3 linked regions of the Caenorhabditis elegans genome follow. The protein of the gene in region 1 purifies or fractionates together with the protein of each later gene. This does not show direct contact. Each region holds a gene or a part of one and is shown in the gene's direction. Other genes may lie near its edges. The genes, in order: acs-4, paqr-2 and hpo-8.

Region 1 (6,110 bases):
ATCACGCCATGCACTGACTCACTCTTTCACAATTCCATCGGTCGTCTAGTAAACGTGTAAAACGAACATATGATTGCGAAACACTATTTCTGTTTTCCGTGGGTCTCCCTCTTTCCATGCCTAGCAGAATTCAAATTACGCGGGCAATGTGGCCTGTGTTGTCTGCGTTTTCTAATGTGCATCTTCACGAATCATGCTTTCAAATTCATTTTGTGCTCTTTCTTTGTACGATGCTCCGTCATTTTGTGCTCTTTTATCAATAACATAATCAAGTGTTAAGAAGATGAACTGATTAAGTGAAAGTTGTATGACGACTGTAGACAAACCCGTCGTTTACGTTGCAGAAATGAGTTATTTTACTTGTCGAAATGATTCTGAATTCAGTTTTACATAACCGAGTTCAACACGTTGTTGATGAGATATTATTTACTCTACTTTTTGTATGATATTACCCCATTTCAATCAATACACTGTCCTAATCCCTCCACCAAGAGTACCCTGTCACCCAATACGCAACCACAGGGTTTCAGTCGCGTATCTCCTCGGTGGCGTGTAATTAGATTTAAAACGGCTGACGAATATCTTGACAATATGAATAATTCTAGTATTTCTCTAACTGTTTCCATTTAGATTGAATGTCCAACTATTATAGATGATTTTCTAGGAAAACCGCGTTCTCAAAATTTAATTTCCTTTTTCTACAGCCCATCCTTATGATTCATCACAAAAAATAGTTTTCCCAGACGTTCATTTTAACATTTTCTCGCTGTTGTTTTTTTTCTGATTTAGGCAAGCATTTCTGAAAATAAGGCTTACTTAACATTTAAATGTATAAACTTATGTAACTCGAATGTAACAATTATTCTTAAAGCTTGTTGGTCCTCTTGAGGTCAAAAGTGGTGCCATATCCGAATCTCGCGCCATGTTCTGAGTTGCTTTCTCTGTTTTGTCTCTACTCGTGTGCGCAGAAAGACCTCCGCTTCCAACTCAGCGTTCATCTATGCATTCCTAGCATTGTCTGCGTCTCACGACTGCGCGGAATAGATGGGGAGTGAGGGGAGCCGCTCCTATGTTTAAAAAAACTGAGAGAACAGAGTGGAAGAAGAGGGAGGAAGAGGAAAAGAATACGGGCGTGTGCAGTTTTCCTCCTCTTTCTCTTTTCCTGTGAAGAACTGCGATGTTGCCACGCAGAATGTAGAAGGAGACGTCATTTGTTTCGGACAGTTCTTTTTTCCATTCGAAATTTTTACGGTGAAAATTGTGAACACGATACATCTTCCGCATGTTCTTAATTGTTACCGCGAACGACATTTCACTGATTTGATAACGCAAAACACCTGATAATGATATTATTTTTACTGATGCTGATAAGACGAGGAATTGTTTTCGTCCAGAGATTGAAGGCTGTTAACTTTACAACAATAACTGTCTAAGACTTTTTTTTTTAATTTTAACATTTTACAATAATCAAACTACGATTTAAAACTCGTGGTGACTTTTCATGCCGGAATTATTTTGAGGTTTTTTCCTTATCAGCACGATTTTCCGTTTTCCCTTTTTTCTGCTTTTGCAGTCCGAAACGAAACACCTCCAACTTTATAAAAATGATGCTATCAAGAGTTCCGTCAAAGACATAATGTAGTTTCCTCTTTTTCATCGGCAGCTAACCATAATAATGTTTAAAAAGAACGTCGCAAAAACTGCAACAATTATTGGACTTTTTGATGTAAGACAAATAGGCTGCACTCTGAACGGGAGAAGATGAGAAAAAAAATTGTCAAATATTTGCACAGAAATATATTTTCCCTTCTTGCATTATTCTCGCAATTCTCGTAATTTTTTGTCTAGCAATTTTGCTCATCGTGAATTAAAAATTGTTCTTTATGTTCCCAAAACTGTAGAAATGCTGCTTCTGTATACATATCATATTATATACATTCTCTATTCCATGCGTCACGGTCTTGTACATTCTTCCCATTTTTCTTTAGAATAATCTCTTCTAATTTTCGTTATTTACAGATGAAACGGAAAGTTTCGGTATACGATTCTTCAAAGGATAAGACACTCGGCCAGGTTCGTGTTTTTGTTTAGGACATTTTACGATTTTTTGTTTGAAAGTTTCCAACAAGTTCTATTTTCAGGTAGTGAAAGGTGAATCACCAATATGGATTCGTGTAGCTATGGCCATCCTTCGTGTGTGGTTTTTCATATACGATTGTCTCAACTACTTGCCATACCAGTTGTTCAATTCGCCAACGGAAAAGCTTCGGAAGTCGGAGCGAGTAAAGGTTTGTCAATACTTTTAATATTAATTTATCCGTATTATCTGTTTCAGGCAAATTGGGTTGACGATCGTGATGGACCAATCCGTAATATTCAAGGACATGCTTCAGAAACATTCCCAGGAAAAGACACAGTTGATAAGGTAGGCAAGTGTGCAAAGATCTGCATTGCAGAATTCGATAAAAGCTGAAGTAGCACATTTCATGCTTTAAATTTTAGGTTTGGAGAAAGTGCGTCGAACTCTACGATGAATCGCCATGTTTGGGAACTCGACAGCTTATTGAAGTTCACGAAGATAAACAACCTGGAGGCCGTGTGTTTGAGAAGTGGCATCTTGGAGAGTATGTGTGGCAGAGCTACAAAGAAGTTGAAACTCAAGTCGCCCGCCTCGCAGCCGGTATCAAGGATCTTGCCCATGAAGAACAAAATCCGAAAGTTGTTATCTTTGCTGAAACTCGTGCAGATTGGCTCATCACTGCTCTTGCCTGTTTCCGTGCCAACGTCACCATCGTAACTGTATACGCAACTTTGGGAGAAGACGCAATTGCTCATGCCATCGGAGAGACTGAAGCTACAATTCTTGTCACTTCTTCGGAACTTCTTCCAAAGATTGTAACGCTTGGAAAGAAATGTCCAACTCTGAAGACCCTGATTTATTTCGCTCCTGTGGACCAGAAAGCACCAGCACCAGAGCTTGCACCGTTCCGTGATCAGTTCAAACATGTTCTATCACTGAGCGGACTTCTTACTCGCAATCAGGAACAAGTTAAAGAATCTACAGCTGTGAAGTCAGACATTGCCCTCATCATGTACACTTCTGGCACAACTGGTCAGCCAAAAGGAGTTATTCTTCTTCATCAAAACGTTGTGGCTGCTTTGTTGGGACAAGGGGATGGTGTTGGAATCATATGCAATGCAGATACATACATTGGGTATCTTCCACTTGCTCATATTCTCGAATTGGATGCCGAATTGACATGTTTGACTAAAGGAGCCAAGGTAAGAATTTTTATTGGATTTAAAACTCATTTTACCCATTTATTTTAAGGTTGGATATTCTTCACCCTTGACACTTCACGACCGTGCATCAAAAATCCAAAAGGGAACACATGGAGATTGTCATGCCCTCCGCCCAACTCTTATGGCTGCTGTTCCAGCTATTATGGATCGAATTTTCAAGGCCGTCTCCGAAGAAGTTGCTGCATCACCTCGTTTCATGCAAGAATTGTTCAAACTTAATTATGAGAGAAAGAGATCCCGCTATTTGGAGGGTTACTGCAGTCCATTCCTTGATCGCATCGTATTCAAAAAGATTCGCAGACTTTTGGGAGGAAAACTTCGTGGTGTTTTGTCTGGTGGAGCCCCATTGAACGCTGAAACTCAAAGATTCATGAATATTTGTATGTGCTGCCCTGTTGTTCAAGGATACGGACTCACAGAAACTTGTGGAGCTGCTTGTGTTGCTGATATCAACGACTTGAGCACAGGAACCGTTGGTCCCCCAGTCAGATGCTCAGATATTGCTCTTCGTGAGTGGTCCGAAGGTGGATACTCACCATTCAATGATCCACCACAAGGAGAGATTCTTATTTCTGGAGAAAACATCTCACCTGGATATTATAAACAACCAGAAAAGACCGCTGAAGATTTCATCACCTATAAAGGAAAAGTGTACTTTGCCACTGGAGATATTGGACAGAAGCGTGATGATGGTTCTCTTCTCATTATTGACAGAAAGAAGGATTTGGTTAAATTGCAACACGGAGAATATGTTTCTCTCGCTAAAGTTGAATGTGCACTTCTCAATTGCCCAATTGTTGATAACATCTGCGTTTATGGAAGTGGAATGGAAGACAGTGTTGTTGCTCTTGTGGTTCCAAACCAGAAGCACTTGGAGAAGATTGCTGAAGCGGAAGGTGTATCAACTAGTGAAATGAAGACGATGTGTGAAGATAAGAAGGTCATTGCTGCCTACAAGAAACAACTCGAAGAACATGCCAAGAAAAGTTAGTTTTGAGAAATTATGAACGTTCTAATGTTTAAAATAATTAAATTGTGGTTCCCTAAAAATGTATATTGTTTCAGGCAAACTTTCCCGCTCTGAAATCCCAGCCGCGATTCATCTTTGCCCCGAGATTTGGACTCCTGACACTGGCCTTCTTACCGAAGCACTCAAGCTGAAGAGAAAGCCTATCCAAATGGCCTACCAGAAGACCCTCGATGATCTGTATAAGCAGCTCAAAAAGAATTGATTCATGTCTTCCTAGCTTTCTTTTTTTCTTTTCCCGCCCTTTTCACACTGGTAACTTGCTCTTCCCCACCTATTCGAGATACTCGATATTGGATTCCCATCTCTTTTGTATACTTCCCTCATTTATAGCAGCATAATCTGTTAGCTTTCATACCGGAAGCTTTAGGTTTCATTCCTATTCTGTAAAGATTCGTGTTTCATGCTACTCTTTCCCGTATTCTCCTTCCCTTTCCACCATCAAAGAGCTTTTCTAACTTGTTTTTCACACATCGTACCTATTCGTAACTTATTCTTTCTAGAGCCCCTGATTCCTTTTCCCCAAACATCCAAACGCTTTATATTTTGGTCGCCCCTGAAAATTAGGTAGATTGTTTTCAAAAATGAAAATGCTGACAACATTTTTGTTTTTCAATGAAATCCATCGAGATTTCAAGGGTGTTAAGATAGATTTTCAATTTTTACAAATTCATTCGATCAATAGTTTGTTTTTGCCAAATGGGTTGTTCCTTTCACACCGACACAGAAATACACACATTTTCCCCCATCTTTTTCTATTTATCTCGTCCCTTCTCCCCAAAACATCTATTTGATTCCATCCTTGTATTGTCACACACAGATGTGAAATAAAAAAGATTGATAAATGATCTTCTGTACTGAATCTACACACTAGTCGTTGATCGACCATCTTTCAACGTCATTGGTTCGAAGATGAGCGATTCCTGTGACGCCTAGAACAAGAATAGACAAAACAAAGAAGAAATCTTCATTTGAAGATCAATATATCTTTTTTGGAACATATACAACACTTACTATTCTATCGAGATATTTTGGTGGATTATTGATTGATGATCCAATAAATTTATCAGCTGCAAGAGGGGCTCTAATGACAGTTTGTTTTGAAATTGATTTTTCATTTTAATTGGAATAAATCATGCAGGTTAATTTCAAACGGAAGAGTAATTTTATATTACTTGTGAGCTTTAAACTTACTTTTTCAGGCGAGAGTTTTCACGTAGAAGTAGAAAATTGAAGAAGCCTTGATTGACTGGAATTTTTAGTCCTCATCTTTCCTTTATCTTTTAAACTGAAAATTTGATAATTATTGTACACATTTTTAATGTTGGGATAAAACCTTTAAAAAATAAAGGTAATGTTATGATTGGTAAATGGTAAATGTTATGAAAATGCCGTCTTCTTCCTTAGTTTTTGAAATTTCCCTCTTCATAACATTCCATAATCAGTGACTGCAAATATCAAAACCCACAATTTTAGAAAAACAGAAAATTTATTTTTTGAATTTCAATAATTTCCGAAATCAAATCTTTCACGTATGCATAAAAGTGCTTGCCTGTGTGCCTCCAAGGCAGGCATAACTTTTTGTGGCGCATATTGACCAGACAATTCAGATTCTGTGCGGTTTCTGATAGTCACATTTCAAATTAGCACTCTTTCTTGATTGAATATAAGAGTTACAGAATCATTTGCAGCACGGAGAACAAAAGATATGAGCAAATCAACAACTGAACCAGATTCATCTGGCTTTGAACTTCTTTCTAATTGTACTACGGTAAGTAAC
Region 2 (7,344 bases), 1.8 Mb from region 1:
TTTTTTTTCGGAATGCTGGTCTCACTGTCCAGTTCTATTACTTCTTTTTCTTAGCCAGTTTGATTTTTTTTCCAATTTTTTTTACTTAGATGCCTGCTGTGTGGTGCTCCTTGCATGATGTGTTGTGGTGTAATTTTGGTACGTTTTTAATGAAGAAAATGGCTATATTAAAGGCGCAGACACTTCTCTCAAAACTAAATCGGTGTCTACGTTTTGAATCTTTTTATTATTATCTTATTTGAGAATTGCTCGAATTTCAGTAAAATATCCAAATGTGTGCCTACCAAGTTCCACCACTGCGACCTGAAGGAGGTCCACGTGGCAAGGAGCCGCAGTCGTGGCTCGAGGATTATTTGGAAGGAAAGGACGAGATTCTGCTATACATAACTGCCGCTTTGGGAGTTCTGATGCCGGGATTTGTCTATCTGCTCTATCGCAAGTGCCATGCATATTATGAACGTTATTCAAAGGTTGGTAATAGTGGAAAACAAAATCAACAAAAATCTGGTCTCGCCACGACTTCCAATTTCTTTCAGAAAAAAGAAGAAGAACGACTTGCCGAGGAACTTGCCGAATCAGAAGCCGTCGTAATAGTTCTAGGAAAAGAAGACGGGCTCGCAGCTCCGTGGGCCAAGGTGATTCACGACAAGCTTTGTGATGAAATGGTCCGAAAACCGATGATTTGGTGGTCAGACTCTTTGGATGTGAAGGAGTTAATGGCCTTCAAGGGATTTTGTATTTTTATCTCTGAAACTACGGCTGGTGGTCAGCCGACACCCTCGACAGAATGGTTTTTGGAATGGCTTGAGGATCTCGCAGCGGACTCGAAGCTTAGAAAGAAGGCGAATTTCGAGAAAATCAGATTTTCAATTGTTGGCTTCGGAAGCAGTGATGATGGGCCAGCTGGGTTCAATAAAGTCGCCAGAACTTTGCTGAAACGAATGAAAATCTTGGGAGCTAGGCAAATTACTGAAGTCGAACTTTTCAATACAACTGACACTGGTATCATACCGTAATAATGATTATTGTTAAAATGTTGAGTTTCAGATAAGCAAACTATGGAGCGATTTGTGGAATTTTCGTTCGAACTCCTTTTGCAAATGGATAAGCATCTTCCTGGAATGAGTGGTGAAGACACCGAAGAATCGGAAGTTGGAGACGATAGATCTGAGAGCTCTTCGGATGATAATGAAGTCGAAGAGAAACATAAGAAGTCGAAATAAAATTTGAATATAAATATTTATATTTTAATAATTGTTTATATATCGAGCTTTAATTGAATTTTCCTGCATTTTAAAGATATTTTGTATATTTGTATTATTTTTTCAACATTTTTCATAAATAAATTCGCTTTTTTTAAAGAATATTGGTGACTGCCAAAATAATAAGAAAACATTAATTTTTGAGAAAGTAAATATTGATCCAAATTACCGTAGTGTAGTTTTAAAGGCGCATGTCATTTCCAGGACGGGTCTCGGCACGGGCTCTAAAGTTTAGCTGTTTCCGTTGCTTCTTGTAAATAATTGGAGTTTTTTTTTGCATATTTCGAAGCATTAAAAAATTAGAATGAGTTTGATCAGTGCTGAAAACTAGAAATCTACGAAAACCTTTTTGTAAAAGAACTCAAAAAAAAGTTTAGAAGCAAAATACCGTAACGAGTTGTTAAAGGCACATACCACTTCCACTTTGGGTCTCATCACGAATATCAATTGTGTCTTTTTCGTTTATCTTTTGTTAATTTTTAGCGAAGTTTTGTGGTTTTTCAGGTGTTTTCTTCATTTAAAACATTAAAATCCTCAATTTTCGATAACTTAAATTGAAAACTATTTAAAAATTATATGAAAAATTGCCTTCGAATCTTTTTTTCATGGAAAATTCGCGTAACTTCCCAAATTTTTTTCCGCCGATTTTTCCGCCATTTCTTCGAACACGTCTTGGAGCTTTACATCGGGAAACACAAAAAATCTGTTTTAACTTGAAAGCTCGTTGAAAATACTCAACAAATTTTTCAGAAACTCATATTTTAAACAAGGAAGTCATAATTTCACTACATTGGATCCAATTCATGCAGGAGTACTTTGACCTCTTCTGAGTCTCCGGTCAGCAAATGCGCTTCCCCGCACCAACACACATTCCAGCAGCACGAGTCGCCCTCTTGTCTCATAAGCTTTCTTGAGAAAACGGAGAAAACTTTGCGCTTTTGGTTTGTATGTGTGAGCAAAAGCTTTTTAATCAATATCCGCTTTATTCTCTCACAGTTCCGATTTTATTTGATTTTTTTCTGGAATTTCTTATATTCTCGGTTGAAAAAAATTTTAAAAACTAAAATTCAGCTTTAACAAAATGGAGGAAGATGACGTGGAATCGGCAACACCGGCGGAATCGCAAAAACTTTTGCAAAAAAGCGTTCGAAATTCGTTTGACGAGGTAATCTATTTCACGTGATCTATTCTATGAAAAAAGAAAAAAAACACAGTTTTTAGTTTTAATTTATTACATTTCAGAGAGATATGGTGATGGTGTTGGACAATGATGAATTAATTATGGAAAATCGGAATAGCAGTAATCTACAAAGCCCATTGCGGAGTGTTACTGTACGTTTTTTGTTGGGTTGAAAGAGATTAGCATATGATTATTGATTTTTGTTGTCGGTGAGTGGTGGCTGGAGCTAGAAGTTTTAAGAAATTCTCACTGTTTGGAGATGTTTTTTTGAAGAAAAAGTGTTTTCAAAGAAATGGTAATTTTCCACTATTTCAGATCTTCTATTTTCAAAAAAAAATTGAAATTTTTTCTCGGTATTTAAAGCTGTAGCTGTATAAAAATTTTAAAGTTTCTGAAGTTTAGGTTTTTTCAGATATACAAAAAAAAATTAACGGCATTATTTTTGAATTTCCTGCAAACCAATAAAAACAAATAGTGAGAATTTTTCTGAAACCTTTTCCTATTTTTTTAGTGGTCAGTTACCGCTAATTCTTATTTAATATTAAAAAAGCTAGAATATCATTCTTCAAGCTCCAGCCAGCCACTTCGTGTTTTCATATTTATCACTGCTTGCCCTCATATGACAAATGTTATTTTTACGGTGATCAGAAATCAAATTTTGAAAAATTGAAAAGTGCATTGCAGGATGTGCTCCGAGAGGCAGAAAATATTATCACTGACGGACCGCTGCAGTTGGCTGATACACAAGAGAATCAGAATGTGATTGTTGATCAAGTCGATGTTCAATTGTAAATAATCATCAGATTTTTTTTTCTTCCAAAAAAACATTGTTTCAGTCCGAATAGTCAGCCATCAGATGGTCAACGATTTGAGATTATTGTTCGTCATAGTAAGGTTGTTGAACAGCCTGCAAGTCAGCAAAGAGACGAATCAATGTATGTGACAAGGCAGAATAGGCTTCCAACTTTGCTTGAAGGTAAGGTTATTGAAAAAAATGATTTTTTTTTAAAGTGCGAAAAATACTTTAATATTTCGCATAACATGCTTTTTGTATTTGAACCGATTTTTGATATTCATTTCATAGTTCATTCCCACAAATTCTTCTTGAGAAGTATTAAAATTCGTCCATAAAAATGGAATTTTTGAAGAAATGTTTCTAATTAAAAAATTCACACATTTACATTATTTATGATGTTCCAAATAAAAATCTAAACCAATTTTTTCAAAAATTATCGATTTATCCAATTTAATTCCCATAAAGGTTAGAGTTCAAGAAAAAAAGGCTTTTAAATGTAAAAAAATCGATTTTTAAAAATGTTCAATAAAAACAAAACAAAATATTTCTTTTGAGCTTTTGATATTAAAGCAAAACCAAACAAAAAATAAGAGTTTTGCGCAATTTATGAGAACATTTTCAAAAAAAAATTTTTTTTTACTATTTGTTTACAGTGTAACGAAATAAACCAAAAATCGCATCATTTACACCGATCTCTCGTTTAATAAATTAGTGAATTAAAAGTTAAATTTCCAACCAAAAAAAAACTTGTTGACCGTCACCTCAAATTAATTTTAGGTGACAGGAAGTGTTCTCATTCGTTTTTTTCAAAAATACTTCCCTCCTTTCACTAAACTACACTATTACTAAATGATTTCTATAGGAATCGAAATTGACAATGGAGATGTCCCATCAACGTCTAAAGCAGCCGCATTACCATTCAAAAAAGGACATCGTCGAGCATGGAGTATGCCGAATGCAAAAGGAGAAAAGATGACAGTTGCAGTTATTCATGATAATCATGAAGAAGGTGGAAATCAGCATCGTCGACGAATTGTCAAATACAAATTACATCCACAACGTCGGGGACACGAAGATGGAAAACATTTGAGATTTGTTACTGCTGGACATGATGCGGAGATTCATTTGGATCATAGTGATGATGATGATGAGCTTGAAGTTGAGATTAATGAAGAAGAAGTTATTATTCCTAGCGAAACTGGAGAAGGACCAAGAGCTGTTATCAAGAGGGTGAGGGAAAACTCCAGTGAGATAATTGCAAAATTGCAACAAAAAAAAGCAAAAAATGCAGCGATAAATGTTAATTGGCGGCAATTTTGCTTTAAACAAATTATGTAGAGAAAAACATTTCTAATAAGTTTTGAAAATTCACGAATCTCCGAAAATGTTTGATTTGGTTTTTCTTTCTATTAAAAGTTTTCTGATTACATTCAAAATTTTCTTTGTACTAGGAGCCAAAAAATTTTGCACACATGTGAGCTATTGATAAGAAAATTTTCAAAAATATACATTTTTGATAAGTTTCTACATATTTTTTGCAAGACAATTACTTGAAATTATGAGAAATCTTAAAGAATAATTTTTTGGTTAAAAAAAACGATTAAAGTTAAAAAAAAAATATTACAAAATTATTTTCAGTTCTGGGAAGCCCGCTGGAAGGCAACAAATTTCGAAACTCTACCCGAATGGCTTCAAGATAACGAATACCTCCGTACAGGACATCGTCCTCCACTTCCATCGTTCAGTAGCTGCTTCAAGAGTATTTTTGCATTGCACACTGAAACAGGAAACATTTGGACTCATATGTATGGATGTGTTGCGTTCTTCGGTATCGGAATATGGTTTCTGACTCGTCCCCATGATCAAATGCAATGGGTGGAGAAATTGATCTACTCGGCGTTTTTCCTCGGTGCAGTGATATGTCTTGGAATGTCATTCCTTTTTCATACGGTTGCATGCCATTCTATTGAAATGGCTAAACTGTTCAGTAAACTCGATTACACTGGGATTTCCTTACTCATCGTTGGATCATTTGTTCCGTGGATCTATTTTGCATTCTACTGTAGACCTCAACCAATGATAATATACAACGGAATGATTATTATACTTGGAATCGCTGCAATGGTCGTCTCGCTTTGGGATAAATTCGCGGAGCCCAAATTCCGGCCTGTACGAGCAGCAGTTTTCATAGCAATGGGCCTATCGGCTGTGGTCCCAGCATTTCATTTACTTGTAGTTGACGGTGTTCATTATATGGTTGAGGAGTCACAAGTTCATTTGATGATTATGATGGGAGCCATGTATATTGGTGGTGCAACACTCTATGCGACACGTGTACCTGAGAGATGTTTCCCTGGAAAGTGCGATATTTGGGTATGTGGTTTCAAAAAAACTAGCAATTGGAGAAAAATATAAAAATATATATTTTCAATTCTCGGTTTTCCGGAAAACCAGACAACATAACTTTAAAGATTTTAAACCACATTTTGCAAAAGAAAATTTACGAAAATACGAAAAAGACTCAAAAAATAAAAGCTAAACAATCTTTTTTACTCAAAAAAAAACTAATAACGTTTATTTTTTCAGTTCCAATCGCATCAACTCTTTCACACATTTGTCGTGCTCGCCGCTTTTGTTCATTATCACGCGATCTCCCAAATGGGAATGCATAAGCTCATGAAAGGATCCTGCCCGGATCAACTGAAAACTCGTTACGGTAACGAGTTGAATCCTTCCTTCGTTGGCACTTTGCTTGGGCTCGACGAGCCACTCAATGTCAGAGACTGGACACCGGCGGATGTTGGTTTATGAGGTAGATTTGTTTCCAATTTTTTATTTTTAAAAAATTTATAATTTTCAGAAACCTCTGCACAATATGTATAGTTGCGTATATATGCTCTTCTTGAAGCTGCTACAACCCTCTTCATACTATCCTTTTTCTGCTCATTTTCACCATTTTTTTTTCCATTTTCTTTCAAATTACCTGGTTCCCCTTCCCCACGCTCCTCAACTATCTGTCGAAACATTCTCAGCTAAAATTCCAATGTGATAAATTCTATACACTCCTTTTTTCATTTTATTCCCCCTTTTCGTTCCGTTTTCTTCCATTGAAATTAGTTTTCTTATTATTCTTTTCTTGTTTTCGCGTTCTCCTTCATTTTCTCGGAACCAGATTTGGTTTTTTTAAACTTTAACATTGAACTTTTCGAGCTTTGTTTTTTTTTTCTTTTTCGTATTTTATGAATTTCATTTTACTGTGTAGCCCATTATTCTATTTTCGTGTGAGTGTAGTCGTCTAGGCGATTTAAAATAAAATTTTCGATTTTTTTTTGTGATTTTTCGAACAATTCATGAAGTCGGCATAATTACCAAGCGCTAGTGTCTGTAAAATAGCGGAAATTTAAGAGTTTTAGCGAAACATTCACGAAATCACATATCTTGCAATTTCTCATCAGTTTTCTACAGAAAAAACTCGTAGTTCCACACCATGCAGGTGAAAATCTAGCAAAATCACCCTTTTTCTTCATTTTACTTGAAATTTGATCAGATTTTTGGTTTTTCAATGTTCTCAGGCGATCAGGAAGTGCTGAAATCTGAAATTGGTTTGAAGTCGATAATTTAAGGAATTTTATTAAACAATCTCGAGTACAGTAACTTGAAAGGCGCATCTACGAAAATAGGGATTAAATATTGTATCTCTGCGAGACCCACGCATACTATAGTAGAATGTCCCTTTAAATGGAGTACGGTACCAAAAGTAGACAAATTTTCAGATTTGTTTGTTTATTTTAGAATTTTTTGTTTTCAGCCCCAAAAAATTATTCCAGTGCCAGAGTTGTGTGTCACGCAGAGTCTCCGTTCTCTTCGTACACTTGTATGCATGTCTGCACCCTCTGCGGCTAGTTTGTTCTCTCACATTGTTCACTTGTTGCTCCTCAGTTTTTTATTCTATTTTTCTTTCTTTTTTCTTTCGGGTCGCCGCATTCTAACAATTTCTTGTCTCTGCTCTGATAAAAACAACAAAATTTTCGATTTATTAGCTCCAACTTTCCTCCCATTCTCCTGAAAATTTCCTGAATCAAAATGAAAAATAATATTTTGTTATT
Region 3 (4,245 bases), on another chromosome or scaffold:
ATGCCCAGCCCGTTCTTCTGTCATGGCCGTCAACCGCCGCGTCGCTGTCAATCGAAATGTTGCCCGCAACCGTGTTGTTGTCCGTCACCGTATCGCAGCTCGCCGCCGTGTTGCCGTTCAACGCAGAGCTCGCGTTCACGCACAGGCCGTCTAAGCAACAGTCATTGTTTAATAAATATTCAGCATACAATTTTTGATAATTTCATATATGTACATTAGCGAACAATTGGAATTCTAGATATAATCAAAGCAAGATGAGCAAACACAGCATTTCGATTCTCTTTTATAACTTCGTCTAGAAGACCTTCTTCACTGGATAGAACATCCTGAAATAAAGAGAAAAAATAATGGAATAAGTTGTTTTGAATTACCTTAAAGAATACTTTGAGTTCTTCAATTTTCTTATTTTGAGCCTTGTGAGAATCAATTGTCGCTTTCCTTGTCTGTTGTTCTCTCAGAAGCTGATCTTCAAGAAGTGACGTCATTTTTTGGCACTTGTCTGAGTTTTGAAGAGCTTCGTCTAGCTATAAGTTATTATTTTGCTATATTTATTTCAAAAGTTTCAACACTTACTTTACTATTCAATTCATTCTCAATTTGAATATATTTCTCGAGAGTAGTTTTTCGTTTATTCTCCGATTCTTCCAGTCGTCTCTTACTATCTTTCAATGCCTTTTCAGTCTGGAAAAGACTAAATAAAAAAGTTAGGAAGGAAATAACTCACAGTCTGGCCACTCTTTTCCAAAAGACTCCGTAATTTTAAATTCTCTTCTTCACGTTCCTGAGTTTTTCCTATTTCTTGCGTCAATTCGGATTGTTTCTCCTCGAGCATTTGCTCCATTCGTAACATATCTTGCTTCTTTCTGGTAAGTTCTAATTCCAAATGTTCAATTACTTGATTATTCATCAGAGTGTGACCTTTGCTCTCCAGACTTGCTTCAATACGGATCTCAGCAACAGCTTGCTCGAACTCGGCGCTCAAATCTGCACGAGCTCTGGAATTTTCATTTAATTCTCTAGATGATTTGCGACGTGACAATATAAAAGTACGAGACTTTAGTGGTCGAAAAGGACCAAGTATTTCTTTTAAACAACCAGATGCTAAATGAGTCTGCATATTTTTTTTTCAGAAAATGCAATTTCCATAGCTTGGCAAACTCGGTAACTCCTGATATTAAAGACAATTTTTTGGAACACAAAAAACGATACTTGTGTTGGTTTAGTAGGTTTTAGGAACTGAAATATATATTTTTGACTAATAATTTTTGTTGCAAAATTTTAGGGAGCCGTTCAGGCGTGTAGGCTCTAGGCAGACGCAGACAAATAGGCACGAAGGCGAGCCCATCTACCATCGTAACCCCTCAATTTATACAATTTTTTGAAACCTACTGCTCAATAGCTGCAATTTTGACGCTTCTTTCTTCTGCTTCTTTTCTTCGAATTGTCTCTTCCTGTTCATCAACGACACCTTGTAGAGAATTCAGTTTTGCACCCATCTCAATGATTTCTAGCTCGATACGATGCTGGTTTCCCAGTTGTGTATCTAAAAATTTTGAAAAAGTTTTTAATTCTACTTTCACTATTCTCTTTTCGGCCTACCCATAATGCTCATTTCACTCTTTAACTTTTCAATTTGCTCTTTCAATTTCTTCTCTTCTAATTCAGAATTATCTCTATGAATTTTAAACATTCTATCTGATTCTTTTCTCTGTTCTTCCAACATTTCTTCCAAACGAGCAGTCTGAAACAATGCTCGTTCTTTGCCTTTTTCTCTAATTCCTCTCTTACCTCTTCGTCTTTCTCTTCAACCAATTTTTTCAGATAAATAATCACATCGTTCGACTCGAATGTTAAATTTGTCAACTGATTCTCGGTCGCCTCATTTGTTACTATCATTTCTGCGATTTTTTCCTGAATGAAGCATAAAATTTAAAGTAATTTTGATAATATTTTCAAAAATTAAAACCACCTGCAGTAACTCTAACTGTTCCTCGAGAGGTTTTTCATCAGAATCCTGGCGTTGTTTAGAAATCATAGTTGTGAGTAACTAAAGTAATACGTAAAAGAACTCAGAATGTCTAGAGTTCAGATCAGTCAGCCATAAAATTTCAATTTCCGTCCATGGTGCAACAACTAATTTCCTGCGTTTGCTTAAATATAAATAAGTCTTCTTTAGTTTCAAAATTACATTTAATATTTTAATACAAGAACAAAAAAAACTGCTTCAAGTTCCTGTTCCTGTTCCACAAAAAATTATTTTTTAAACTGTCCCCAAAAACGCCCTGATGTAGATTTACGATAAACAAAGCGCGAAGGGTTATTTCGGAGTGTTGTAGTCAAGAAAAATGTTTCTTAAGAATTAAAATTTTAAAAATTATTTTCTTTCATTTTCTTAATTTAAGTGATTTATTTCTAGATTTTTTGATTAATTTCCAATTAAAAAACTGAAGTCTTCAATTTTTATTAAAAATAAATAACCTCGCTCTCATAATTTTTCTGAAAAACTAAGAAATTTACATTTTTCCTGTATCAACCAAGATATCGTATGAAGATTTATATATTTTCAATTAAACTTTCGAATTTTACCAATGTTTTACATTACATAAAATGTCCCATTTTATGTTTTCGCTAAATGTTTCTTCAAACTCCCCGCAAGTTGACTGATAACGTTTCTGTTGTACATCACTCCATTCTACCCTTTCATCTTTTTTTTCGTGTGGCGTGATATACTTTTCTCATTTTCTTTTCTTTGCATTGCCTAAAATCCTTATTTTTGCAGGGTAACAATGAGCGTTCAGACGTATCTGGTTGCGTACAACGTGTTACAAATTTTAGGGTACGTTTTTTTTTCTGAAAGAAGTTCACTATAATTTTAATAATTTAAATTAATTTCAGATGGTCTGCAATTCTTGTGAAAACAGTTCTTGGACTCGCTAATGGCTTGACATGGCCACAACTTTACGAATCGGTGGAATTTGAGCTTAAAATCTTCCAAACCGCAGCTATTCTCGAGGTTAGCTTTGTTGAAATTGAAAAACTTTTAAAGAAATTATCATATTCAGGTCATTCACGCAATTGTCGGACTTGTTCGTTCACCAGTTGGAACTACCGCAATGCAAGTAACATCTCGCGTCGTCCTTGTCTGGCCAATCCTCCACTTGTGCTCAACAGTGAGTTGGAATTTTTTATCTTAAACTTGAATAAATTAAACCAATTTTTAGGCTCGCTTCAGTATCGGAGTTCCACTTCTTCTTGTTGCCTGGTCCGTAACAGAGGTCATCCGGTACTCGTTCTATGCACTCAGCGTATTGAAACAACCAATCCCATATTTCCTTCTCTACCTCAGGTATTTTGAGATTCTGGGGATCAATGCTATAACTCAACTATTTTAATTACAGATACACCCTCTTCTACGTTCTCTACCCAATGGGAGTCTCCGGAGAGCTTCTGACGTTGTTCGCTTCATTAAATGAAGTTGATGAGAAGAAAATCCTTACCCTCGAGATGCCAAACCGTCTCAACATGGGAATCTCCTTCTGGTGGGTGCTCATCATTGCTGCTCTCAGCTACATTCCCGGATTCCCACAACTTTACTTCTACATGATCGGTCAAAGAAAGAAGATTCTCGGCGGAGGAAGCAAGAAGAAGCAGTAAAGAAAAATTCTACGTGTATTTATATTACAGTGTATTCTAGATTAATTGCAACCAATCAAAATTCAACTTTATTCATAAATTATTCTCCCGTAATGTCTTCTAAAAAAACAGTCACCCGAAAATCAGGATGGTGGCGTCATTTGAGCAAGAGCTTCGGCCTTTGCCAAATAATTCTGGTATAAATAATAACACCAATATATGAGATTCAGAAAACAAAACGACAATGGAAATGCTTTTCTGCAGAATTTGTCGACATTTTGTGCAGTCCATTTGGTATTTTCGTCATCGTCATCCGTGAGGAGTCCTGGAAAAGTAATATTTAGAGAATAAACGATGCACAAATTTATTTAAAAGTACCGAATTGTGCGAGAGCGTGCAAAGATTCGAACATATTGTTCGCTTGTCGAGAAATTGAAATTTTATGGCTTGTAGTCCCGTTCTGCTAAAAGATAATACATTTAAAATAATAAAAAAAATCAATAATCTCACTGAAAAAGGCTCATCATAATTGCTCCTCAAGTCGCTCTCTGCTGCATTTGCATTGGTTACTGTAGTTGCACCATAGTTATTTTTCTTTCTGTCTTTTTTTCT

The links.
Region 2: the proteins of acs-4 (region 1) and paqr-2 purify together in Caenorhabditis elegans (affinity purification with western blotting; one study listed by BioGRID). This does not show direct contact.
Region 3: the proteins of acs-4 (region 1) and hpo-8 purify together in Caenorhabditis elegans (affinity purification with western blotting, with the first as the bait; one study listed by BioGRID). This does not show direct contact.

The regions. Positions count from the first base shown.
Region 1 is NC_003281.10:7,165,819-7,171,928, forward strand, and holds acs-4 (long-chain-fatty-acid--CoA ligase), read left to right. Parts: upstream 1-2,019; coding exon 2,020-2,073; intron 2,074-2,141; coding exon 2,142-2,288; intron 2,289-2,335; coding exon 2,336-2,425; intron 2,426-2,502; coding exon 2,503-3,282; intron 3,283-3,331; coding exon 3,332-4,289; intron 4,290-4,368; coding exon 4,369-4,535; 3' UTR 4,536-5,172; downstream 5,173-6,110.
Region 2 is NC_003281.10:5,374,919-5,382,262, reverse strand, and holds paqr-2 (Adiponectin receptor protein), read left to right. Parts: upstream 1-2,333; 5' UTR 2,334-2,343; coding exon 2,344-2,427; intron 2,428-2,504; coding exon 2,505-2,594; intron 2,595-3,126; coding exon 3,127-3,230; intron 3,231-3,278; coding exon 3,279-3,418; intron 3,419-4,100; coding exon 4,101-4,468; intron 4,469-4,876; coding exon 4,877-5,611; intron 5,612-5,824; coding exon 5,825-6,049; 3' UTR 6,050-6,050; intron 6,051-6,098; 3' UTR 6,099-6,564; downstream 6,565-7,344. Other genes in the region: Y32H12A.6 (Flavodoxin-like domain-containing protein), read left to right, coding at 273-470, 537-1,002, 1,048-1,223.
Region 3 is NC_003283.11:6,836,510-6,840,754, forward strand, and holds hpo-8 (Very-long-chain (3R)-3-hydroxyacyl-CoA dehydratase hpo-8), read left to right. Parts: upstream 1-2,779; 5' UTR 2,780-2,786; coding exon 2,787-2,836; intron 2,837-2,895; coding exon 2,896-3,013; intron 3,014-3,062; coding exon 3,063-3,170; intron 3,171-3,221; coding exon 3,222-3,346; intron 3,347-3,398; coding exon 3,399-3,654; 3' UTR 3,655-3,745; downstream 3,746-4,245. Other genes in the region: col-143 (Nematode cuticle collagen N-terminal domain-containing protein), read left to right, coding at 1-154; T15B7.15 (GRIP domain-containing protein), read right to left, coding at 216-326, 372-524, 574-681, 725-995, 1,390-1,543, 1,600-1,741, 1,789-1,911, 1,970-2,035; lgc-54 (Ligand-Gated ion Channel), read right to left, coding at 3,777-3,958, 4,012-4,096, 4,144-4,243. UniProt on the Caenorhabditis elegans protein: Catalyzes the third of the four reactions of the long-chain fatty acids elongation cycle. This endoplasmic reticulum-bound enzymatic process, allows the addition of two carbons to the chain of long- and very long-chain fatty acids/VLCFAs per cycle.